7 linked regions of the Callithrix jacchus genome follow. The protein of the gene in region 6 purifies or fractionates together with the protein of the main gene of each other region. This does not show direct contact. Links are inferred from orthologs where the notes say so. Each region holds a gene or a part of one and is shown on either strand. Other genes may lie near its edges.

Region 1 (2,294 bases), on a different chromosome or scaffold from region 6:
CAGACCCAAGCCTGGAGTTAAATTGAGACCTTGTCTGTCTGAACTGATACATGCCTAACATAGCTTACCAACTGGCTTTTTCTTCATCTAAAAATAAGCCATCAAACAAATATACTTTAGGATTTATAAATGACAAATCAAGAATTTATCTTATTTTGTTTTAATATATGAATAATTTATATATTATTTTATAAATTTAATATAACTTAAAAAATTTTAGTAGTTAACCTAAAACAAGACCTTGAAATGTATCAGTGCTGTTCGAAGAATCTAGCAATGAAAATAGGTAGAGAAGTTAAATAAAAGATTATTGACAACAACAGTTTGGTGTATTTAAGTAATAAAAGCAAGTCATATGAATAAAAGCCCTTGTCTCCTCCTCAGTGGCTAAGGCAAGGGGAAAATGTCATTGTCATTGTGTTGCTGCTGATTATAGCTCCTTTTAAATTTGTTTTCATACTATTGAAAACTTACCCACATTACACAGGAAAATCTCACAATTCAGCAGTGCAAAAATTTTATTTGTTTCCCCTCCCCACCACTTTACACATCTAAAATTTTACTTAATCCAAAGTATTCTTTTCTTAATCATCTGGTATCAGTCATGTCAAATGTGAGGAAATAAAAACACTAATCAATTACAAATTTCAGTCCCCCTTCCCCATCGCTACAGCAAATTTAGGATAAATCTACAGCATTCACTTACTTTTGCTGGTTCTGATACTGAGGAATACTTTTTTATTTGAGAATCAACACCTAAAGACTTGGCTAATTGTACAGCATTTGAATCATCACTGATAAGTGTTCCAAGAGCCACAAGAAGTCTAAAAGTGGCTTCTAGGTCTTGTACTACTTCCAAAATTGTGCTAATTAGTGACAAACATTGAGCTTTCCCTTCAATGTTATGGTCTTTATGAAAACAAACAGAATAGTTCAGGGTCAATGTAGCCAGAGCAATGTGAATGTTCTTATTGCTCCCTGATTTCAGTTTTATTGCATGGGACATCAGTGATTCCCTCTGGGACATCATGAGGTTTTGTCCTGCCTGGCCAATAAAACAATTGCAAAAAGTCCTGAGAGCAAGCAGCTGGTTTGCTGGCTTTCCTTTAGGGTTCAGAAGATTGATGAGATGACTGCTGAACTGAGCTCCTTCTTTTTCACTGCAGAAGTTCTCATTCACGCTGGGGTGTTTAATTGACAACCGAAGAATGTCAAGTGCAGGAAAGACAATATCTATTTTAAAAAAATGTCATTAATGTTTATGGAAATAAAGACCGTTTCTTTTGACTATCAACTTTTAAGGATTTTTTTACCACTACAAAATTAACCATTTTCGAAAATGTGAAAAATTATGTGTATGCTTTAAAAAATGAAAAATATATATATATATTTTTTTGAGACGGAGTCTCGCAATGTTGCCCAGGCTGGAGTGCAATTGCACGATCTCAGCTCACTGCAACCTCCGCCTCCTGGATACACACAATTCTCCTGCCTCAGCCTCCCAAGTAGCTGAGATTGCAGACACAGACCACCACACATGGATAATTTTTTGAATATTTAGTAGAGACAGAGTTTCACTATGTTAGCCAGACTGGTCTTGAACTCCTGACCTCAAGTGATCCGCTTGCCTTGGCCTCCCAAAGTGCTGGTATTACAGGTGTGAGCCACTGCGCCTGGCCAACTTCTCAGATTTATATAAGCTAGATTTATTACTGTAAGATCATATTCACTTTAAAAATAAGGTAACTCTCTCGGGTTATCAAATAGCCTGACACACTGAGTATTCAAAAATGAATGGAAGGCCAGGCACGGTGGCTCATGCCTATAATCCCAGCACTTTGGGAGGCTGAGGTGGGTGGATCACGAGGTCAAGAGATCGAGACCATCCTGGTCAACATGCTAAAAACCCCGTCTCTACTAAAAATACAAAAAATTAGCTGGGCATGATGGCGCGTGCCTGTAATCCCAGCAACTCAGGAGGCTGAGGCAGGAGAATTGCCTGAACCCAGGACGCAGAGGTTGCAGTGAGCCGAGATCGTGCCATTGCACTCCAGCCTGGGTAACAAGAGCGAAAGAAAGTCCATCTCAAAAAAAAAAAAAGAATGGAAAGAATGGAGTGCAGACCTTGCTTTTTAAAATTCTGTAAGACCAAACAGTTAAACAGAGAGTTGGTTTTTTTTTCTAATTATACTTTAAGATCTGGGGTACATGTACAGAACATGCAGGATTGTTACATAGATATACATGGCGGTTTGCTGCATCAATCACCCCATCATATACATTAGATATTTCTC
Region 2 (2,696 bases), on a different chromosome or scaffold from region 6:
CATGGTGAAACCTGTCTACTAAAAACTCAAAAATGAAACCCATCTACTAAAAACACCAGCAGGTGTGGTGGCAGGTGCCTGTAATCCCAGCTACTCAGGAGGCTGAGGCAGAATTGCTTGAACCCAGAAGACGGAGATTGCAGTGATCCAGTATCTTACCACTGCACTCCAGCCTGGGCGATAGAGCAAAACTCCCTCTCAATAATGGGGAAAAAAAGATGTTTTAATTAATATCTTTTGTGATGAGAGGCCAATTTAAGACTGAAATTGACTGGATTGCTTTATACCTATTAACAAATCAAGCATTACACTATTTTGCCATGAAATCTGCAATTATAAAGTGCCTCTAAACTTTAACAGTTACAACTTATAATTAGTAAAATAGCCACTTGTCCAGCACACCCTTCCCACAATCTGTCTTTAAGTATCCAATTAATGATGCAAATACCCCATCCTCAACCTGGTTAACAAAGAATGCTCACTCAACATTAGTAGTATTAGATAAAATTGTTTCGAGATAGGGTCTCATTTTGCCACCCAGGTTGAAGTACAGTGATACAATCTTGGTTCACTGCAGCCTTGACCTCCTAGGCTCAAGCAATCCTCCCACCTCAACCTTGAGAAGAACAATTGCACTACAGGTGCATGTCACCGTACCAGGCTAAGTTTTGTACTTTTTGTCGAGATGGAGTTTTGCCATGTTGCCCAGGCTGGTCTTGAACTCTTGAGCTCAAGTGAACCAACTGTCTAGGCCTCCCAAAGCACTGGGATCATAGGCGTGTGCCAGAGGCATGTAACCAGATCAGTGTATTAATTGCTGGGTAAGGAAAAATATAAACTTCAGATTGCTTGGCATTCAGAAATTTTAATTCTCTCTCTTTTTTTTTTTTTTTTTAAAAAAGACAGGGTTTCACTATCTTTTCTAAGGCCGGGTTGCCCAGGCTGTTCTCAAGCTCCCAGGCTCAAGATATCCTCCTGCCTCAGCCTCCCAAAATGCAGGGATTACAGGCATGAGCTACCATACCTGGCTGAAATTTTTACATTTTTTATTTTAAAAATCAGAGTTTAGTAAGCCAGTTGTTCTTCTCAAATATAAAGTACTTTACAGCTTACCTTAAATTCAATGATTAGGCGACCCTTTTCATATGGTCTACGATAAATTGGCATGCCTTCATTTAGTACACACTTGATATCTCCATGCTTGACAATCTGACCTAAAAACATTGAAGCCAAGTTCTTCTTTAAGTATGGTCACATTTTTATGAAGCAGAGAAAATAAAGAACAGAGAGCATTGTCCTAGCTCACTGGCAGAAGTAAAACTTAGGTGGCAAAACAATCCTGTTACTTTTCATGTATGGGTTTTTTAAGGGCAGACAAGAGAGCCAAGACCTTATAACTTCATCTCAGCCCAGGAAATGGTACGTAACCAAGGAAGAAAAACAATGCGTTTCCCTCTACTGTGTTATCAGGAGACAAGGAAAATACTAGAATAGAAAAGAGAAGCTTAAGCTTGCCTAGTTACCATACCTGGATGAGAGGTGATGACTATGGTTCGGTTGTCAAGAGTAGATATCGGCTTTTGGAAGCCACACAGTGCTTCAACCAGCTGTATGTCCATACACATGAAAAGGTCTTCTCCTCGTCTGCATAAAATATGACACATATTTACATTTTTCAAATCACCAATCAGTAGATGTACCAAAGCAGGCTATTGTTTATTGGTTTAATAAAAGCAAGGGTGTCTTTTGTAAAGATTCTCTTTTCTTCCCCCATTGTAAAAATCAAACAGAGCAGAGATATGGGAATAGCACACATGTAGAACTTGCCAGCCCTGTTTCCTAGATAAGGATTCAAAGTCATTCCACACACTCTAGGCAGCCTTTACCATTTACCATCCCTGAATTGTTTCATTACCTAATTTTTAATCTAGTTTCTCAGAGGGAAAAAAATAACAAAACTCACAAGAGTGAGGCTTAGGTTGGGCGGTGTAGTTCACACCTGTCATCTCAGCACTTTGGGAGGCTGAGGCGAGTCAATCACCTAAGGTTGGGAGTTCAAGACCAGCCTGGTCGACATGTTGAAACCCCTTTCTACTAAAAATACAAAAAAAATTAGCCATGTGTGGTGGCACACACCTGTGATCCCAGCTACTCAGGAGGCTGAGGCAGGAGAATCACTTGAACCTGGAGGCGGAGCTTGCAGTGAGCTGAGATTGTGCCACTGCACTCCAGCCTGGGCAGGGTCCTAGATAATTTAGACTCCATGAAATTAAATAAGGGGGTTATATGACCAATTTATTTTTAATTGACTTTAAGAATTTCCTCATTGATGTACCTGAAATACAGTTCCTGGCACACTGTGAGTGAATACAGCCTTTCATATTTAACAGCCCACTTCCTCCTCATGCTTAGACTTTCCTCTTTTCCAGCCCACATTAATAAAATATCTTTAATCTTTAATACTCTTCTCAAATGACAACATCAAAATCCTAAGCTTGACAACCCTTTCCATTATCTTCAGACATTTGTGAAATACTTTGTTTTTTTGAGACTAAGTTTCACTCTTGTTGCCCAGGCTGGGGGTGCAATGGTGCAATCTGGACTTACTACAACCTCTGCCTCCCTGGTTCAAGTGATTCTCCTGCCTCAACCTCCCAAGTAGCTGGGATTATAGGTGCCCACCATCACGCCTGGCT
Region 3 (3,500 bases), on a different chromosome or scaffold from region 6:
GACAAGTGTCCTCTTTCTGTCAGTTCCAAATTCTAAATGTATTATCAACGGCGATCACCTCATTTTTAAAACTATGCTTTAAAAACCACAATCAGTAATTCATACTGAACCCTATTGTTACAGTGACGCAAAAAACCAACAGACTTGTCAACAAACAAAGCTAATACCCTCTCCCAACCATGGGGAAAAGGCTCTGCCCTGTCACAAACACCTGTGGAGAACTTTCATCTGAGTATGTTTTAAACAATGTTATGAACCACTTGCAACTTGTCTGAGTGGACAATCTTCAGTTGGATTCATAAATACCAACTAATTCAGGGGCCCACAGAAGCAACTCTGCTTCCAGTAAGAAGCACTGTCACCCCAACCTGCAAATGGCAAAGTGACTTTTCCCAATCAGGAAGGCAGCCATCAGGTTGCCCACCCCACCGCTGGTGCTTACCTAAGATGGCTGCACCGTGCCCCACAACTCCCGCTTACCTGTCTCCTTCAGGCCTCCCAGACCATCCGCTACGGCCTAGCTCTCCCTTTCTTCCTTCCCTGATCCTCTGGAGCTCAGTCCAGGAGAGCAGCCTCCTTATACAATGCTTCTGTCACAACCCCTGAAAACCAACCTGCCCTGCAACCATCCTCAGATGGCAGCTGCTTTCCCTCTCACGTGCTCAAAACAGGAGAGGGCTCCTTCTTACTCCTCAGGCACCTTCAATGTTCTCGAGTCCCTGCCTCTCATTAACATTTTAGCATCTAGCCCCAGCACCATTCCTTTCTCATTCTCAGCAACCTGCGCCCCACCAGTGTGATCCAGTAACATTCCCGGCCTCTCAGTATATCTCTGACCCCCTGGTGCAGATGAGCCACAATTTTCATGCCGACGGGCCCACCTGCCCAGATAATGGACTTGTATGTACAAGCTCCTGCCAGCATGCTCTAGTCCCTGAGGCTGGCTGTTCCTTCTACCAGCCAACCACGTTCCTGCCTCAAGAGCATCCCCATCTGTACTTAGCCTGAAATGTTCTCCCCTGGGGGTGCTGCTTCACTCAATGTTAGCTTCTCCCTACAGGTCATGTCTCTGAGCAGCATCTGTAACAGAGCTGTACCCACCTTTCCCTTATCTGTGCCTCAAGAGCACAAGCTTGGCTTCATTCACTGCTGAACCTTTAGTGCCTACAACAGAGCTTGATATGTTGAAGGCACAAAAAACCACATCATGAATGAGCAGATAAATACAATGACTCTCCCAAGAACAGACATGAAAATAGCCTCTAGTTGGTTTGCTATGGTAAATAATGCTCTAACCAACCCATGCTCCTGTATTCTTGAGTACCTGTGTTTTCAGCTCCCAACGACAGAGTCCCCAAAGAAGAGCTGCTACATCAGAGAGCAAGCACACCTATGCTAAGGTATTCGTGAACCCAAACTAGATTTATCTGAGTGAAGAACGGGATTCCTATAAGTGCATTCTGGTTTAATTCCAGTTACTCATTAACTCTTGCCTAAAAGGTATAGTCAGAAATCTTAAAGGGAAGGTAGGCTACGTCACACTTGTCCAGGAGAGCAAGTGTAATAACGTACAATCGAGAGCATGGCTTTAGGTAACAGGATCACTTCTTTCAGGGCCTTGAACACGCTACCATTTTAAGACAAAATTAGAATTCTTCTCTGTTTGTACCTTTCTATGCCATCTGGTTTGTTCTTGTGTATGTTTTAGAACTGAAGACTACGCGTATTTACGAACCACACCTAACTAACTGTATCCTCTGGGAGTTTAAATTCCACTGAGGACTCCGGTAACACTTACCTGTTGAATCATCTCTTCAAATTTCTCCTTTTCATATTTCTGAAGGGCTTTATAATCTTCTACAGAGGTCACATCCAGCTTATGCTTCGTTTTTGGTTTGGGTGGTTCGAATGGACATGTGAGAATTGCAATCTTAGCATCTTCCACTTTCTATGGGGAAACATAAGGACATTTTAATTGGTGAAATTATGAGTTAACCAACAGTGTGAAACTCTGAAACCCAACGGCTTACTTTCGGCATCTGCGGGTGACTGAAATCCTTGTCTACGATCACGCCCTTAATCAGCTTAGTGTCCTCCAGCCTGCCACCCACTTTGCCTTCTACTTTGATAAGCTCAAAGTCCACATCTCTGCGCTCCATGTCTGCTACAGTGAGGACGGCATTCACAGCGATCTCCGCCATTTGTCGGTGACAACTGTTGACCCTGATGAAATCACCACAAAACAAACTTCACTGGTTTCACAATTACCGCAACCAAAGCAGGCCACATGATACAATGTTACTCAAAGATATAAATCAAATGATGTTCTGAATCTTCTAGAAGGGAATGTCGTCTCCGCCTGCATTTTCAACAGGCTGGGGCAGAGATTCTTAACCTGTGACTGACCCATGGACCGCAAAGGGGACTGTGCACTTAGATGGGAAAATAATTACATCCTTTATTTTTGTTAACTCTGGAATTTACTATTTCCTTCCATTATAAATGTACTCAAGAAACCACTGTAGTCTGGCATGAACTAAGGTCGTCTTAGAATGCACCACTTTTACAGAATACGTTACAATTTTACAAGTTCAGAACAGAATGAGAAAGATAAGTAATAACTCGGGGAAAAGTCAATCTTATCTAAATGAAGTGCAGCACTTAATGGGAAGTGAAATTCCCACAACATGAGTTACCCAGAGGATGCTGCCTTTTTGAAAGCTTTGAAACATTTGAATAGATTGCTCCTTAAATTCATTTTTGAGCCAAGAAAAACAACTAGGGAAACCTAGCACTTGAAATGTCTGAAATCTTAGATTATCTATAAAACAGAATCATGAAAGTAAAAATGTTGTATCTTAAGTAGACTGAGTTAATACTTGCAAACAGAACAGGGCCAACTTTAAAGCAACAATAAAACAGAGATGTACACGTCAAGTAATGATGATGTCCTTCTCTTGAGAAAATAGTGTTATACTTGTGACCGAGGCTACCCCTACGGTAGTTCCTCTTGCCTAGAGAGCTAGTCTCTGCTACGACCTGTGGTTAGAGCACAGCAGGCACCGTTGAAGGCTTCTGCCCTAACAGAGGCTTTCCTCAGGGGAAAAGGCAACGGAGGCCGACACATTTCCTGCATTTTCCCCAACTACCGAGTTGAGAAGACCCCTCCTTCCTTTTTGCTAAAACCACCACAAGCACACACTTGAAAACATCTTTCATTGATATAAAGTAATTGTAATTAAGTAACTTACACTGAATTTTTATGTTATATTATGGCAACAGACCTTAAGTCTTTATCATTGTTCATAATCAGTGCACCCCTTGGCTGAGGTTGCTTAGAGTTTCCTGGGGGAAAGAGCTGTGTCTTTATGCCCATTAAGACCAGGCAGCCAGCTTGGCGAACAGGTATTATGCAAATGTTGAAAACACCAGAGACAAGTCAGTTTCAAGACTGTTTCTCCTTACTAAGTTATAATTTTGGATCAGCAATTTGCTGAATA
Region 4 (4,277 bases), on a different chromosome or scaffold from region 6:
ATCTTCTTTCTCCTTCTCTGTGATGTATTCTCCCCCCACTGCCCCATAATTTACCAGCAATAGCAGTACTACCTCTACCCTCCATTACATTTCAGAACATAGTTCTGTATTAGCACGCCAGGGCATCATCTCCTAACTTCTGCTCTGTCTTTGGATCTAAGTAAGTTGAACACAATGGTGTATCATCTGCTAATATCTGTATAACTCACCAAAAACAAAGTTGTCTGGTCTAAAGATCTGGCCAAAAGGACCTGAGCGAACAGAGTCCATGGTCCCAGGTTCTAGATCCACCAGGATGGCACGAGGAACATATTTGCCACCTACAGAAAATAAAGTAAAAGCTGTGAGATCTGGCAGAGAAGGCTGGGAGACAGCGGGGACCCCAGACCTGTCATTCCAGGTGCTGCCACCAGGTGGCAGCAGACGTCTGGCCCTGACGGTGGCTCACCCAAGGCAAAGGATGACAGATCACCCAAAGAGTAAGGCGTGCCCAAGAATGTAGAGAGACCCAGAGAAGTGGGACACACGGAAGGGAACCCGAGCTGCCCGGGCTCCTGCCCTCACCTGTGGCTTCATTGTAGTACACGGAGATGCGGTCCAGCTGCAGGTCACTGTCCCCGTGGTAGGTGCCAGTGGGGTCGATGCCATGTTCATCACTGATCACCTCCCAGAACTGCCGGGTGAGAGCAAAAAGTACAACAGCTCAAGTCCCAGCCAACTATGTCGAAAGTACCATTTTATCTTTTATTTTTTTTTTGAGACGGAGTATTGCTCTGTCACACAGGCTGGAGCGCAGTGGCAAGATCTTGGCTCACTGCAACCTCTGCCTCCTGGGTTCAAGCGATTCTGCTGCCTCAGCCTCCCAAGTAGCTGAGACTACAGGCACAGGCCACCACGCCCAGTTAATTGTTGTATTTTTAGTTGGCCAGGATGGTCTTGATCTCTTGACCTCGTGATCCTTGGCCTCTCAAAGTGCTGAGATTACAGGCGTGAGCCACCGCACCCGGCCTCTTTTTATAATTTTTAAGGCAGGGTCTTCCTGTTGCCCAGCCTGAGCAGTGGCGCAATCACAGCTCCAATACTACCTGGAGCTGACAAGCTCAACCGATTCTCCTACCTCAGCCTCTGGAGTAGCTAGGACCCCAGACGCGCGCCACCGCGGTGCACAGTGAATTTTTTATTTTTTTTGTAGAGACGGGGTGGGGGGTGGGCGGTCCTCGCTTTGTTGCCAAGTATCCGCCCGCCTCGGCCCCACACCTCCTATTTTAATTCCATATGCCCTCAGGCCATTGTTCTACGGCCTGGCATCCCGTGTGCCTGCCACACCCTTCCCCTAGACACTCGCTCCCCCGGGAAGTCACAGCTTTCTCCGATTGGGGTGAGGTATGTGCAGCGATTCCTAAGCGCTCGGGTGGGCGGAAGGAGGTCGACCACAATAAGATAAGCGCCGCTCTCCTTCCACAGCGCGGGGCACCGCCCCACCGCGCCAAGCACAAAAGGCCGGGGACTGGGGGTCCGAGAAGTGAGTGGCTGCCGCAGTCGACCACCCCCCGCCCTCCATGTGACTGCAGCGCACGCGCAGGTCGAGCCGCCGACAAAAGGCTTCGCGCGTGGGCGGGGCCAGGGGCAAGAATTCCGCGCACGAGGGGCGGGGCCCAAGGTAGCGCGCCCCCGCCGGCGGGCAGGACCGCACTGTCCCCGCGCGCGCCTCGGCCCCGCCCCGCAGGGCCCCGCCCTTCTGCTACAACGTAGCAGCCGCACTTCCTCCCGCCCCTCCCCCGCTACACTGTAACCGCGCGCAAAAAAAAAAGAAAAAAAAATTCCCCTTGGCCTCGAATTTTATTCCTTCGCTAGATTTCCCCCCCTTGATTTAATGCATTCTTTCTCTCCCCTTAAGTCCTGAGGGACTTGGTAAAAAAAAGTCACACACCCCATTTTCTCCCCATATCCCTTCACGCCCTAAAATGATCTCTATTAGGGACCATGAAAGCAAGTAAAATTAATCCCGCTCTTATTCTCCTTCCACTCAGGGACGATCCGCTCTCCGGGGTCGCGGGCGCGCTGGGCTCCCTGGTCTTTTGTGAAGAGTAGCCCGCAGCACAGCCCACCCTGGCGCGTCGCCCCCCCACCCTTGCACTGGAGCTCTCCGCAGCAGCCCGACTGCCTCGCCCTTACCCGCTCGGGTTTGGCCCTTCGAACCCCGCAGGGGGGTTGGGCGGGATGCACATGGGCAAAACCTCGCCCCGCTTTGTCTTCGACCATTTCCGCATCTCTCTCCCTGCCCGGTTCTCGGACCGTTAGAAGCCCTTCTAAGTGAAAAGCTCACAGATCCTCCGTCTTCCCGCCCCCGAAACCCGAAGAGCCCTTTTGCTAGTTTCTCCAAAATGTGTCTGCCAAGAAAAATGATTCCCAGCTTTCCAAAAGCCAATGCTAGCTACAACTGTTATGTATATAAATGTTACAAACTTGGTTGGGAGAGGCAAGGCTTGATTAAGGATGAAGGGCGCAAATGCCCCACAACCATTTTTTCATAAATTACCTGGATTTTTCCTTCTAAAAAGAAATAAAAGAGGTGTAAAATTCTTACCTTGGCACCGATCTGGTTGCCACACTGACCGGCCTGGATGTGCACGATTTCCCTCATGGTTAAAATTTAATTTTTTTGCTCGCCTCAAGGTATGTACGGGGCAAAAAAAAATAGGTAATTATTTTTCTCTGCTGGTCGCAGGCTGCAAGGTTGGAATGCGCCCCAGAGCTGGAGTAGCGAGGTGCAAACGCGGCGGCAGGAAGGTTCTGAGAGGGAGAAAGGAGAGGGGAGGGCGCGGAGGAAAGGCAGGCTGGGCGGGGCGCGCGTGCGCCGGGGCTGGGAGGCGGGAGAATCGGCCCCTCGCGCGGTCGGAAGACAAAGCCTCATCGAGCCTGGCCCTGATTAGTCGATGTCGGTCATGTACCGGGCGTCCATTGGCCTCTGAGGCAGTGGACGACTGCAGTCCTCTCTGGGAGTTGTAGTCACCTATTGTTGTCCACGCTGCAAAATGAAGTGACGAATGGGTGGATACCGGTTTGGTTTTTGTGGGGTTTTCGTTTTGTAAATGAAAAACGACCTTGCGCAAGGTTCCTTTCCTCTGTGCCTGAGGTGTTTGTACAAAAAGTGATCAGTTCTCGGGGATACGGCAGTTCAGAAGTCTGGGGTTCCAGAAGTTGGGTGGTGCGATAGGCACGCCTTGAAAGCTCCCGGCTGCAGTATCTCTGGGGAAGACAGGATTGCTCAGCTCAGCGAAAACTGGGAGAAGTGTGGCACCGAGGTAGTCTGCTACCTCTGGCACTTGGTGACCCAAGGCCTGAACTTCAGTAAGCCTCTGCTCCCTCAAACACTTCAAGGAGGGAATTGCCCTCTTGCTGTTTCTTTGGGAATTTTCGAATCATTGTTTTGAAAGAGAAACAAAATTGCAGCAAGGGCTTTTCAAGATAGAGATATCTGGAGAGTATGTTCAAAGAATAAAATGAATGGTTTAGAGAAACCGATGTCGGGGATTTCTGAAGCCAGAAGTCTCCATCCACATAGGAAATCTGGACCTTAGGGCAGAATTTGAAGACACCTTGGTCTTGTCAGATAGGGAACTGTGTTATGAGATGCCTGATAGATTTTCAATTTTTTTCAGCCTACCTCTCTAGACACGTTGATGAAGTCAGTGGTTTTTCAATTCGCTGATTTCACTGACCAGGTGGCCGCCGTCTCTACAACTCTGCCAGAGATCCAGTATTGAAAAAGGAGAGGTGATGGATGGGGGGAAATTGGATGCGCCCAAGACAGAGTCCATCTGCTTCTTCCCAGAGATATATTCACTTATTTGATAGATACTATGTATCCACCAAATTAGGAACTAGGGATACGAAATGATTAAGAATTAGCTCCCTGTACTCCAGGATGTTGCAGGCTGCTGAGAAGCATACAGTCAATAAAATGTCGTAAGCACTCAGAAATGTGGTATCAAGTCAAAGTCATTGTTAATTCACATTCGATGACACACAGATACATGTATTTCTAAGTTGCCTTCTAAATAAGGGAACATCAACTTGTATAAGCCCCTCTCTACCCACGTAAAATATAACTTATGTTTTAGGGAAGTAACAGTTATTTTGTGGAAGTAGAAATAACCCAAAATACAGAATTCGATAACCTGTTTCAATTTGTCTCTAGGACAAATTAAAGGAACCTAGGGAAGTCCTTTAACTTTGCAGGGATTCAACTCCTCATTTGTAAAATCTGCTTATTT
Region 5 (3,500 bases), on a different chromosome or scaffold from region 6:
ACCAGTTCAGTAAGGTCAACCTCATCACAATAACCAAAATGAGGGATCTTCAGGGCTGCAGACATAGTCTTGACCATTGCTTTCTGAAATCCTGAAAGCATTCAATTGTTATTCATTTATTTAAATTCTTAAATCCCGTCATTATTATTTTTTTTTATTTAAGAAACTAAAGTCGTTGAACCCAGGAGGCAGAGACTGCAGTGAGCAGAGGTCACGCCACTGCACTCCAGCCTGGGTGACAAAGCCAGATTCAATCTCAAAAAAAAAAAAAAAGAAAGAAAAACAAAAGAAAAGCTAAAATGGAAGGTTCTCTAATGTTCTTTCCTTTCTCAGTTAAACCTTTCCTCACAACACTCTCTTCATTACATTACATTACATTATATTGGAAGTCACTAATTTTAAAGCTGGAACATTGACTGCATCATGACACTCAGTCGCAAATGCAATAATGTAGCAGGTAACTGCTTTAAATGCTGTGTTATATAAAAAATGCAAAAGAATGCAAGCCATATATTTCCCTAACAGCTTTCCTGCAAAGCCACTCTTCTGGAAGTTAATCATTCCAAGAGTTTATAAATAAATTAAAACTAGTTGTTTTGAAAGCTAACTACAAATAGTGAATGTTTAAAATATCCTGCATGTGTCTTCCAACAGCAACTGTCAGTATACGAAGAAACCTGCTAATGTATTACCTTCAGAAAAACAGTACATATACATTGGGAGTGTTTCCTGGAAAAACTATATTATTTTACTATTAAAAAATTATATACTGACTGAAGTTGAACTTTCCCTTAAGTCTTCAAAACACCATATTATATACATTTATCTACTGAGATAGATTCCCCCAAAACAAAATAACTACCCTTTATTATTATTATTATTATCATTACCTTTTATGGGCTCTGTTTTGTCTTTGCCTGTGAATACCGGAGGTTTTGATACAGGTATGGGAATAGTCATGTCTTTTGGCTTTGGTGGAGGTGGCATAATTTCAGCTTTCGGTGAAGGAGGTAATATAGCTCCTGTCTGCTTTTCCAAATAGTTGAGGATATCTTCTTTAAGTATTCTGCCATCTTTTCCTGAGCCAACAACTTCACTCAGCTTAATCTAAAAAATGATATATTTTAATGCCAAAAATACAACTACTTAAAAACATTATTAAAGTTTCAAAATGGAATCTGATCAACTGAAAATAATATGCATATATATATATCTAACAAATTAGTAAACGGAAATAACCTTTTCATTTTCTACTTAAGTACTCATTTATTACTTTTGTATACACTGTTTTATGTACATGTGGTAACCATCAGATACCCATATTATATATAATCTAGAGCTATTTATGAAAACTTACTTAAAAAAATTTTTTTTGTAGAGACAGAATCTCACTGTTGCCCTGGCTGGTCTTGAACAACAAGCTTCAAGCCATTCTCCCACCTCAGCCTCCAAAAAGTGCTGGGATTACAGGCGTGAGCCAATACGCCCAGCTGAAAACTTATATTTTTATACTCAAGTATTTTAAAATCTCTTGCATAATTCTTACTCAAACATTTCTATTCCTAGGGACTGTATAAGAAGAGGGAGAACTGAGAATTTAAGGAGAAACTAAAGGCTGTAACAATATTAGACCAATGTCTCTGATGTTAAAACCAATGTCTCTGATGGTTAAAAACGTAACAGCTTAAATAATCACAATACAAAAGCTCTCTCAAATTAGTTATTTTTCTGGTAGTTGGTTTGGAAAGATCAATACGAAACACTTAATTCTATTTAAATACAAATAAACATAAAAGCTTGGAATGATCTCTCCATACATAGCATGCATTAATTTCCTAGGGATCGGCCCCACTTCATTTGTATTAGTGCATCTCTAAGGATATCTAAAATAATAAAGAACTTCACTAAGGCAAATGCTAAGTTTGCAACAAATGGACTCTGAAAATTTAAACAAATAATTTTTAGGCAGTTACAAGCAACTGTAAATGCCACTGGTTCTTAATTTTAAACAAACTCAATTCATAAATATGCAAAATGAAAGAAAAAGGATGATTTCTGATATACCTAAATCTTTTTTTTTTTTTTTTTTTTTTTTTTTTTCATCAACTGCACAGTTTATTGATTGGGATGACTTGATCTCAAGGCAACTGGGACAGCAAGTTAGAATTGGTGTGGAGTAAAATTTCAGTTCAGTTGAAAAAATAAGGTTTCACAGTTTGAACCATCAGTCAAAGAAGGAACTGCCTGGTGAAGTGGTGCGAATTCCAGCACGTAGAGAATTTCAGGTTGAGTGCAAATACTACTTCAGAGAAATGTGAGAGCCTCAAATTCTTCCAGCTAAGTGGTGGTCAATCTTGGCTGCACCTCAGAATCATCGAGGAGAGATTTGAAAGCTCTTTCCATTCTCAAGCCACAGTGTTTGTTGATGAAATCAAAATTTCTGGGTGTGCGACTTAAGGTATCAGAATTTTTTTTTTTTTTGAGACAGAGTCTTGCTCTGTCGCCAGGCGCCAGGCTGGAGTGCAGTGGCACATCTCGGCTCACTGCAACCTCTGTCTCCTAGGTTCAAGCGACTTTTTTTTTTTTTTTTAAATTTTTTATTGGATTATAGGTTTTGGGGTACATGAGCAGAGCATGCAAGACAGTTGCGTAGGTACACACATGGCAGTGTGCTTTCTTTTCTTCTCCCCTTCACCCACATTTGGCTTTTCTCCCCAGGCTATCCCTCCCCACCTCCCCCTCCCACTGGCCCTCCCCTTTTCCCCCCAACAGACCCCAGTGTTTAGTACTCCCCTTTCTGTGTCCATGTGTTCTCATTTTTCATCACCCACCTATGAGTGAGAATATGCTGTGTTTCATTTTCTGTTCTTGTGTCAGTTTGCTGAGGATGATATTCTCCAGATTCATCCATGTCCCTACAAACGACACAAACTCATCATTTCTGATTGCTGCATAATATTCCATGGTGTATATGTGCCACATTTTTCCAATCCAGTCTATTATCAATGGGCATTTGGGTTGATTCCAGGTCTTTGCTATTGTAAACAGTGCTGCAATGAACATTCGTGTACATGTGTCCTTATAGTAGAAGGATTTATAATCTTTTGGATATATACCCAGTAATGGGATTGCTGGGTCAAATGGAATTTCTATTTCTAAGGAATCGCCACACCGTCTTCCACAATGGTTGAACTAATTTACACTCCCACCAACAGTGTAAAAGTGTTCCTTTTTCTCCACATCCTCTCCAGCATCTGTTGTCTCCAGATTTTTTAATGATCGCCATTCTAACTGGCGTGAGATGGTATCTCAATGTGGTTTTGATTTGCATCTCTCTGATGATCAGTGACGATGAGCAATTTTTCATATGATTGTTGGCCTCATATATGTCTTCTTTCGTAAAGTATCTGTTCAAATCCTTTGCCCACTTTTGAATTGGCTTGTTTGTTTTTTTCCTGTAAATCTGTTTGAGTTCTTTGTAAATTCTGGATATCAGCCCT
Region 6 (4,129 bases):
CCCTGAAAGCATGGGCTTTTGTTTCTTTTGTTTACTGCTGTATCCCCTGCTCCTCAATAGACATTAAATAGGTATTCCATAAAAGAAGTCTTTTGCCATAATAAGTTAGTCTTAGGTTGGAATAAGGGATATAGATATCAATTGGTCAACACACAAGTATGACAATTAGCACACAATGCCATGGGCTAGGAAAATAAGATCAGGTATTGGGGTAGGGTTTGGCCAGGCAAAATCCTCTTTGAGAAAGTCTCATTGGGATGTGAAAGGTAACTGGAAGAGAAGAAGATAGAAAGGAGTCTCTGGGAAAGGGGTTGGCCAGGGTACAGACTAGAGACAAGAGGGTGCCTGGCATATTGGAAGAATAAGGGGACAAGTGTCGGTGAGGAGGATTGGCTGATGAAGTCACAAAGTGAGGTGGAGCCAGATCATGTGGAACCTTTGAGGCCAGGATGAAGAATATGGACTTTACCTTGAGGGTAACAGTTTGCCCTTAAAGTTTTTTTTTGAGACAGAGTTTTGCTCTTGTTGCCCCAGGCTGGAGTGCAATAGCGTGATTTCTGCTCATGCAACCTCCGCCTCCTGGGTTCAAGCGAATCTCCTGCCTCACCCTCCCTAGTAGCTGGGACTACAGGTGTGTGCCACTACACACAGCTAATTTTTGTATTTTTAGTAGAGACGACATTTCACCATGTTGGTCAGACTGGTATTAAACTCCTGACAACGCAGGCAATCCATCTGCCTTGGCCTCCCAAAGTGGTGGGATTACAGGTGTGAGCCACCACACCCGGCCTCCTTAAAGTATTTAAACAAAGACAACATCATTTCACACATATTTTTTTTACGTTGCTTTGTGAACAGACAATAAGGCAAGGCTGGAAGCAGGGGACCAGGGAGGAGGCTTCTGGAAGTCTAGGTGAGTGATGATGATCGTGGCAGTGGAGGTGGTGAGTTGAGGTCAAATGGTGAATATAATTTAACATATAGCCAAAAAGATTTGATGATTCTTTTTGAAAAGTAAAGCAAATGGGAGGTCTTTTCCTCTAGAAAGGCTCCTGGGAAGCCCGGATACTAGTCTAGGATCCTCTATTACACACCCTTGAATCCCTCTGGTCTTAAATTTGTCTTCATTAAATACCTCATACTGCTGTTGACTGTTTAAGACTCTGCCCTCCTACTCACCCAATCAGTTCCCAGAGAAGGGACCCTGTCTGTTGTTTGGTACATTTGTATCACTAACTCTTGGCACACAGTAGGCACTCAATAAATGTTTGTTTGCTACATAGAAAAACCCTTTCAAGTGTGAGCCCTACCTCCCCAAATCACCTGCTTCCAGTATCCAGGCTGGGGTAAGAAAGGATTTGTTCTTGCTAATGGGCTCTAAGTGTATGTATTTTTGTGATTTGGAGACAGCCTGGAAGATCCAGCCTCACCTGTCATCCCAGAGGCAATGGAATTCGTTTAGCTGCTCATCCAACACCAAGCCAGTGCCAGCCAGTGCTTCAGCCTCAAGGTTCAGATCCTGCAGAGGAAAAAAAAGGAGACACAGATCCATTTTAGGCCTTGAGTCAGAAGGAACATCCTAAACTGTCCACGGTGGGGAACCTTTGGGTTTTGATTGTCATACGAGGCTAAATTGCAGCCAGGCCCTGCTCACCATCCCCTGCAGTCCCACGATTAGGTCTTCTTCGATTGCTTGGCCGAGCTTCTTCATTTTGCCTTTCTTCTTTACCTCCGCTAGATTGGGGATGGAGCGGGGAACGGCTCCCTTTTTAATGTTTCGCTTCTGCGAATCAGAGAGAAGGGTCAGAGTCCAGGGCATGGCCAGCTTGCTCCCTCTCCCCTCCTCAGGGCGGGTCTAGGGCCTCACCGATGTGACACTGGAGTCCTGAGGAGACGACTGGGGGTTCTGCCTACTTCTTCGCTGCCTGGTTGTGGTGGAATCCTGGCCGGTTGAGGTCATAGCTGAGGAGGCTTTGCCCCTGTCTCGGTTCTGGGGGGGGGAGGCGTGGGTGTGTGAAGGGGCAAGTGTGCCCAGAGGACTCCGCCCCCTCTATTAGATTCCATTCCTTACGCGATCTTTTTCTCCACAGCCTTCCAAACTCCGCCTCTCTCAGGCCTTCTCCCTCCACTCAGGTGGCCATGCTACCTGGACCCGCCCGGTCCGCTAGACTCCACCCCTTTACATGATTCTTTCTCCGGTCTTGCCCTTTCACTGAGCAATGAGCCCCCTGGCTCACTCAATCCCTTTTAGGGCCCACCCTTTCCAACCAATCACCACCCCTTCCACTCTCCCAAGCCCTTCCCAGACCCTCTAAGCCCGGCCCGGACCCCATTCCTTCACGTACCTGCCCTTTCGGCCTATCTCCCAGGATAATCACCCACCCTTTCACTCAGCCCGCCCCGGCCCCGGCCCCGGCCTCAACTCCACCCTTAACGATTCACTTAACTCCACCCCTTATCGGGCCGGACCGGTACCTTCCACTCTGCCAGATCCCGCCCCTAGCGTTTCAACCAGCCCCGCTCCTTAGGGGACTGCCCCGTTCCTTCACCAGCTCCACCCCCTGCCCGGACCGGACCGCTAACGTTTCGCTAAGCCCCTTCAGCCAGTCCTGAGCGCCTTCAGTCGGCCTCCACCCCCTTCCCGCCTCCGCTGTCGACGCGGCCAGTCCTCGCCGCTCCACTCACCGGGCGCAACCCCTTTCTCAAACTCCGCCCTTGGCTCGCTCCGCCAAGTTCCTGGCGACCCGTGGGGACGCGAGTGTCCGGGCCTTTCTTTTCCATTGGGCCTGGTCTCTCGACTGCCCGCCCAGATCCCGCCTTCGGAAGGGAACGTGCCTCAAGGCCGCGCCCCTCGCGCGAGCCACACCTCTCGCGATCTCACAGAAGGCGGGATGGTGCGTCGGCGTGCTACGTCACTGTACTGTGCCTACGTAAAAGGCGCGCGCCGTTGATTCGCGACCGGGCTGCGGCGCAAGCTCTCCACTCCCTCGATTACCATCGCTGTCATCCTGTATGCCATAGCCGCCGCCCCTCTGTCCCCGTCCAGTCACTTAGGAGCCCTCCAGGCCAGCGGTGTCGCGAGAGCAAGCAAGGAAGCGTGGGAATTAGGAAGGGCTTCTTCCCTCTTCCTCGGGACTTCCTGCGCGACGCGCCGTGATGACGTAGCGCGGGCGGGCTAGTTGTGGATGGGCCGAGAGCGGGGTTGCCACTGGACGTTGGCTGGTGGCGGCCAAAATAGGCGTGGTGACGATGCTAAATGTTGTGAGGATTTTTCGAGTTAGTATTCAGTACGGTGGTACACAGGAAGCACTAGCCGAATGTTAGCTATTAATATTTTGCCGCAATATTCTGGGTGAAAGGAGTCTTAGTGGGGGCAGGGAATGGTAATGATAGCAAGTGTGTGACAGGCATCGTTGTAAACCACAATTCTATGAGGTAGTTCCCATTATTAAGGCTGCTTTGCAGATAAGGAAACTGAGGTTACGGGACTTAACCATGTGACCTTGGGCAAGTTACTGAACAGCTCTGTGCTCCGTGTCCTTATCTGGAAAGTTGTGATAATAATAGTACCCAGGGCCAGAATGGACTCGAAGAGGGGAGTTACTCATGGGCAGCAGCTCTCCCTATCTGCCCCCTCCGACGGGTAACCTCTGCTCCCAAGGAGTAATAGAAAGTGTCTGTGTGCCCGGGGAGTCGGGGGAGCTGTCCTTGGGAACCCCCTTCCCCGCAACTCCCACTCTGGGTCTAAATGTCAGCTCTGCAGGAGGCCGGTTTGTCCTCCTAATCTCCCTCTCTCATTCTCCACCATTTCCTACCGGTCTATAAGCTGGAAACGGAGAGATAAGCAGTTCGCAGTCCGGGGGTTCAGCGTCGCAGACTGACAGATTGACGGTCTCACCGCCCAGTAGCTGTGCCCTCTGATCCTTTTGAAGATGCCAATTCCTGCTGCCTCTTCCCTTTTCATTCCTCCTACCTGAACCTCTTTTGTCTCAGCGCAAAAGAGTTGCAGACCTAAGACTTAAACTCCTACACTCACCAAAGAAAACACATACAATGATACACACACACAAATTCTAGAGTTGTGGTACCTGGAACATAATAGAGTAGGGAGTCTTGCAAAGGGTCAAGG
Region 7 (4,205 bases), on a different chromosome or scaffold from region 6:
GAAAGCCAATCACCAGCCCAAGGGCACACAGCTAATAAGGAGCAGAGCTGGGATTAAATTCAGAGTTCAGCTCCAGAGTACATGCTACAATGATGGAAGGTGACATGGAGGAAATTTTGAAGGGCATGTAGTGTACAATGCTATATACTACCTTTCTACTAAATAAAAACCCAATCAATTATGGTTTAGCCAATGAATAATCTGGCAAAGGTTTTATATTTTACAGAAAAAGATACCCATAACTTAGGGGAAATAACAATAAACAGGAATATTTTTGTTAGCAGACATAAAGATAGTCAGAGGGACACTGGTGTCATCTGAAATTGCTGCCCAATTATAATGAAATCATCTATCTGTGTATGAATTAGCCCCCTACAGAGCCGAAGTTCTCATCCCTCAGTGGTTTGAAACACACACCCCTGAGGCTCCACCCCCAGGTCATTTTTCACTTCCAATGAAATGCCACCCAGCAAACTTTTCAGCCCCCTCCCAGCCCCTACTGTAAGTGTGGACAGAGGCAAACAATTCAATTTTATGAACAGCCTGCATATAGAAAGGCAAACAAGAAGGATGGATAAATTAGCCATGACAGAGCATCCATCTATAACAGATGAGCTAAAACAAAACTGTCCCAATTTGTGTACTGCTACCACGAGGTCACTTATATTACAGGGCAGGACAAGTCTGCTAATTTATCAAAATTCTGCTTAACCCAATGATCACAAACACAAACCAAACGCAAAAGGCCACTATTGCTACTCATGGCCTGCCCCGTCTCCCAATTAATATCTCTATACTGTGTTAAATATTTCCAAAACTAGAATCCTATGCCAGGAACTTTTAATTCCTCATGTGATAAAGTACATAAACCACTGAAGCATATAGTCTTCCACCCTACAACGTGCCCTTCAAAATTTCCTCCATCTCACCTTCCATCCCGGCTGCCTTCATTGTAATAATTTCCCTAAGGAGCCCAAATGAAAAGCCAGGCTCTCAGGGGTCACATCCTTCTGCTGCCAAAGCTCTTGCTATATCGTACAATTATACCATATGCTTTCTCCAGATAAGGACGGGGAAGAACTCAATTTAAGATGCAGAAGTAGGGAGATGCATAAAATGGCCACTTTTCCAGAACCCGAGACAGACTGGGCATAATTAAACATCAAAAGCAAGGGACTCAAAGAAGAATTAATAAAGGCAGATTGATGAAGGAGATAAAACAATAAAAAGATTATAAAGTTTTCCAGAGTGAGATACCATCAAGAATAATTAAACCTGACTCAAAGAATCCTCAGTTTCAACGTTAAAAAACAAAATCTCAGCAAAGCCAAAGTATTATGTTTGGTATTACATTATTCAGCGAAAACAGCAGTCTTTGTTTCATCTGCAGTCTGCATCTACCCCGCCTGCTTTCCCCTACCCCACCCCAGCCCACCACCCCCCCCCTTCCATCCACCGCAGTGATCTTGAAGGGAGCTGCAGAGGCCCTAAGAAACAGAGATAACGGCTGGCGGCAGAGGCCACGTTACCCAAACCTCACCAGCTCGGGTCTGCCCGCCGAGTCGCCAACCTCCTTCCTAAGGCCCTAGTTCCAAGCAGGCCTGGCTGGGGGCCTCCAGCGTCCCAGGGCCGCATCCGCCCACCACAGGCCCACAAAGACCCCGCAAATGCCAGGACTCTGCGGCTTCCACTTCCCTCCGACCCAATTCCAGTCCGATTTTATGGGATCAGGGTGTGACCCCCAACTGCAGAAGGCAATGAAGAGACTGCGGCGAGCCATGCCCAGCTCGCTTACACAATAAAGGAATCCCGAGGCAAGGACTGACCCTCCCCCCGGCCGTCCTGCTGCAGCGCGCCCCGCCACATTTCCCGCCTCGCCCCCGCTCCAAACCGACCGGGCCTCGCCGGGCGTCCACCCCCTGACTAGGCGCTCCACCGAGGGCGCGTCAGGACGCCCCCATCCCGTGCTCCTTCCCCCGCGTCTGCGGAGTCCGACCCTCCCCAGGCCCGCGGCCGGCTCCGGAGCCCCTCACCCGCCGCGCGCTCCCCCGGCCGTGCAGAGCTTATGCCCTCCGGTGCCTCCACCTACCGGTCTGGCGCGCGCCGCCCGCCTTCCAAGCCCTCGGTGAACCCCTCTGGCGCTCAGGGGGGCCCGGTCCCGCCGGGTCTAACCCACCCAGCAACCCACTCAGGGGTCCTTCCTGTCCAGCACGACCCCACCGCCCGGACTGCGCTTTCCAGCCCCACTAGAATCCCCTCCCCTCCTGGGAAGCAGACACTGGCTCGCAGGGCACGTCGAGACCTCCGCCGGGACACTAGCTCCCCGACTTCGCGCCCCTAGGGATTCCACACACCAAAGACCTGGTCCTCACGTCCCCACCCCAAGATCTCCATCCCCAGCCCCCCAGGGGTCGCCCTCCCGCACACCCAGGCCCTGATCCCAGTAGGGGTCTCACAAGGACCTCATTCCCCGCCCCTCCAGGAGTCTCTCCATCTCCACCCACTGGGGTCCCACTGCCCCCCCCCCAGGACCCTGCTCAAACGAAATTAAGGTTACCGCAGCACAAATCCTACAGCTGAGAAGTCCCTCTGTCTTCCCCAGCTACCGCTTCGGCCTCGTTCCTGCCCTCCAGAACCGCCCGGGCCCTTCAGCCCGGGATCCATTACTCCCTCCACAAACTGTCCCCGCACCCTGGGCGGTGCACTCGGACTCGGGCAGCCGCACCTCTCACCTTCAGCCGAAGATGGTGGCGCCGGCGCACGTCCCCAGCAGCGACCACTGATCCAGCACCTCAGTCCCAAACCCACCGCTGCCTCCGCCGGGCTCCTTTAGCACTGCGGCTCGAGGCTGCCCCACCCACCCCCACCCTCATTGGGCCAGCTCCACGCCCATCACCGCCGCCCCCAGACCCACTGGTCGGTTTGCGCGCCCATCTCCAAGGGAAGACGTTAGCAACCCGAACGAAGCTACCTTCCCGAGCCAGGCTCCCTCCACCCACCTGGAATGATGCTCATTGGCTCCCGCTCCTAGTCCTGTCCACAAAGGCCCCAATCTCATAGGCTGGCTCTTACGCCCGTCATAGGCTCCGGGAGGTGCGGCCGGGGCAGTGGCGCGCGATTGGCTGGCTCGTGCGTAGATGGACAGCTGAGGCTGGCTGGGCGCCCGGCGATCCCCGGAGGCGGCGGGTGCGGACCCTGCGGCTGTAGGCGCGCTGCGCTGACACCGCTGTGCGAACCGCAGGGCAGGTGGTCCGCAGCAGGAGCTCCGCGCTCTGACTGCACGCTCCTCGTTCTAGCGTCGGGCAGCCTTCGCAGCACACTCCAGCGCCCTGTCGCCGCCTTTGCTTGCGGCGTCTGGCATCTACCGCAACAGGACGGGGTTCCACCGTGGAATCGTGGGCCCCCTGCGCTGCCTGCAGGGGCGGGGCGGAGCGCGGTACAGAGGCCTGACGTCACCCCCAGGGCTGCGCGGGGTGGGGGCCGCGTCGCTGCGACTCACCTGCAGAGGGGAAGGGAACGCGGGGGAGGGCACCGCTCCGCCCATGCGCACAGGCCTTGCCCGGGCTCTGGCCGCGCACCGCTGCGGCCACTTGTCCCGACCCGGGCCCCGGGCTGACTCTGCAGGGTCGGCCGGGCACCGGATACTGTCCTCCAAGGCCGCAGTTTTGGTGTTAGTGGGGCGAGAGGCTCTCCTGCCCAATCTCCAGGCAAGGCTGAGATTCCAAAAGAATGAGGAGAACCGACCTTGGAGAGAAGATTTGGAAGAAACTTTATTCATATTCATTCACTCGTTCCTTTGCTCCTGCATTCGTTAATCAGAGCTCCCTACGTGAGAGGGGCTGTGACAGGTTCTTAGGAATGTAAAGCTGGATTCTTGCAGCGCTGTCATATCCTCTTGGGCCCATGAAAACATTTGAGACTTGAGAGACGGTAGCCCCAAAATAAGGAAAGGAAACTGGAAAAATCAAAGTGAACAAAATTTAATGAAATGTCTGCAGAACCTAGACAAGGGCAACATAACTCTTACATAATTATATATAAAAATAATAAAGTCAATCACATGGACAAAATGAATTATTTGTTCATCCATAACCTGAAAATCAAGATCATAAAAATGTACAGCAAGATGCAGTTATTAATCCGTTATTAATATAGGCTATGGGTGCATTTTAGTACGTGTGATAATGATGTGTTTGCCTAAGCCT

The links.
Region 1: the proteins of HDAC6 (region 6) and PLAA purify together in Homo sapiens (affinity purification with mass spectrometry; 4 studies listed by BioGRID and IntAct, with this or other methods). This does not show direct contact. The link is inferred for Callithrix jacchus from reciprocal best matches to the Homo sapiens genes HDAC6 and PLAA.
Region 2: the proteins of HDAC6 (region 6) and DNAJA1 purify together in Homo sapiens (affinity purification with mass spectrometry; 4 studies listed by BioGRID and IntAct, with this or other methods). This does not show direct contact. The link is inferred for Callithrix jacchus from reciprocal best matches to the Homo sapiens genes HDAC6 and DNAJA1.
Region 3: the proteins of HDAC6 (region 6) and CCT5 purify together in Homo sapiens (affinity purification with mass spectrometry, with the first as the bait; 3 studies listed by BioGRID). This does not show direct contact. The link is inferred for Callithrix jacchus from reciprocal best matches to the Homo sapiens genes HDAC6 and CCT5.
Region 4: the proteins of HDAC6 (region 6) and TUBB purify together in Homo sapiens (affinity purification with mass spectrometry; 4 studies listed by BioGRID, with this or other methods). This does not show direct contact. The link is inferred for Callithrix jacchus from reciprocal best matches to the Homo sapiens genes HDAC6 and TUBB.
Region 5: the proteins of HDAC6 (region 6) and DBT purify together in Homo sapiens (affinity purification with mass spectrometry; 3 studies listed by BioGRID and IntAct, with this or other methods). This does not show direct contact. The link is inferred for Callithrix jacchus from reciprocal best matches to the Homo sapiens genes HDAC6 and DBT.
Region 7: the proteins of HDAC6 (region 6) and MYH10 purify together in Homo sapiens (affinity purification with mass spectrometry; 3 studies listed by BioGRID, with this or other methods). This does not show direct contact. The link is inferred for Callithrix jacchus from reciprocal best matches to the Homo sapiens genes HDAC6 and MYH10.

Annotation. Positions count from the first base shown.
Region 1 is NC_133502.1:133,955,892-133,958,185, forward strand, and holds the end of PLAA (phospholipase A-2-activating protein), read right to left. Parts: intron 1,234-2,294; coding exon 668-1,233; 3' UTR 501-667; downstream 1-500. UniProt on the Homo sapiens protein: Plays a role in protein ubiquitination, sorting and degradation through its association with VCP. Involved in ubiquitin-mediated membrane proteins trafficking to late endosomes in an ESCRT-dependent manner, and hence plays a role in synaptic vesicle recycling.
Region 2 is NC_133502.1:140,228,480-140,231,175, reverse strand, and holds part of DNAJA1 (dnaJ homolog subfamily A member 1), read right to left. Parts: intron 1,645-2,696; coding exon 1,529-1,644; intron 1,215-1,528; coding exon 1,114-1,214; intron 1-1,113.
Region 3 is NC_133503.1:195,394,553-195,398,052, forward strand, and holds part of CCT5 (T-complex protein 1 subunit epsilon), read right to left. Parts: intron 2,224-3,500; coding exon 2,031-2,223; intron 1,949-2,030; coding exon 1,799-1,948; intron 1-1,798. UniProt on the Homo sapiens protein: Component of the chaperonin-containing T-complex (TRiC), a molecular chaperone complex that assists the folding of actin, tubulin and other proteins upon ATP hydrolysis.
Region 4 is NC_133505.1:35,516,684-35,520,960, reverse strand, and holds the start of TUBB (tubulin beta chain), read right to left. Parts: upstream 2,801-4,277; 5' UTR 2,645-2,800; coding exon 2,588-2,644; intron 674-2,587; coding exon 565-673; intron 321-564; coding exon 210-320; intron 1-209. UniProt on the Homo sapiens protein: Tubulin is the major constituent of microtubules, a cylinder consisting of laterally associated linear protofilaments composed of alpha- and beta-tubulin heterodimers.
Region 5 is NC_133508.1:145,663,719-145,667,218, reverse strand, and holds part of DBT (lipoamide acyltransferase component of branched-chain alpha-keto acid dehydrogenase complex, mitochondrial), read right to left. Parts: intron 1,108-3,500; coding exon 891-1,107; intron 92-890; coding exon 1-91. UniProt on the Homo sapiens protein: The branched-chain alpha-keto dehydrogenase complex catalyzes the overall conversion of alpha-keto acids to acyl-CoA and CO(2).
Region 6 is NC_133524.1:49,380,703-49,384,831, reverse strand, and holds the start of HDAC6 (protein deacetylase HDAC6), read right to left. Parts: upstream 2,801-4,129; 5' UTR 2,782-2,800; coding exon 2,686-2,781; exon of another isoform or gene 2,072-2,685; intron 1,991-2,071; coding exon 1,868-1,990; intron 1,784-1,867; coding exon 1,655-1,783; intron 1,520-1,654; coding exon 1,431-1,519; intron 1-1,430.
Region 7 is NC_133506.1:75,147,190-75,151,394, forward strand, and holds the start of MYH10 (myosin-10), read right to left. Parts: upstream 2,801-4,205; 5' UTR 2,665-2,800; coding exon 2,558-2,664; intron 2,364-2,557; exon of another isoform or gene 2,090-2,363; intron 2,088-2,089; exon of another isoform or gene 1,896-2,087; intron 1,801-1,895; exon of another isoform or gene 1,541-1,800; intron 1-1,540. UniProt on the Homo sapiens protein: Cellular myosin that appears to play a role in cytokinesis, cell shape, and specialized functions such as secretion and capping. Involved with LARP6 in the stabilization of type I collagen mRNAs for CO1A1 and CO1A2.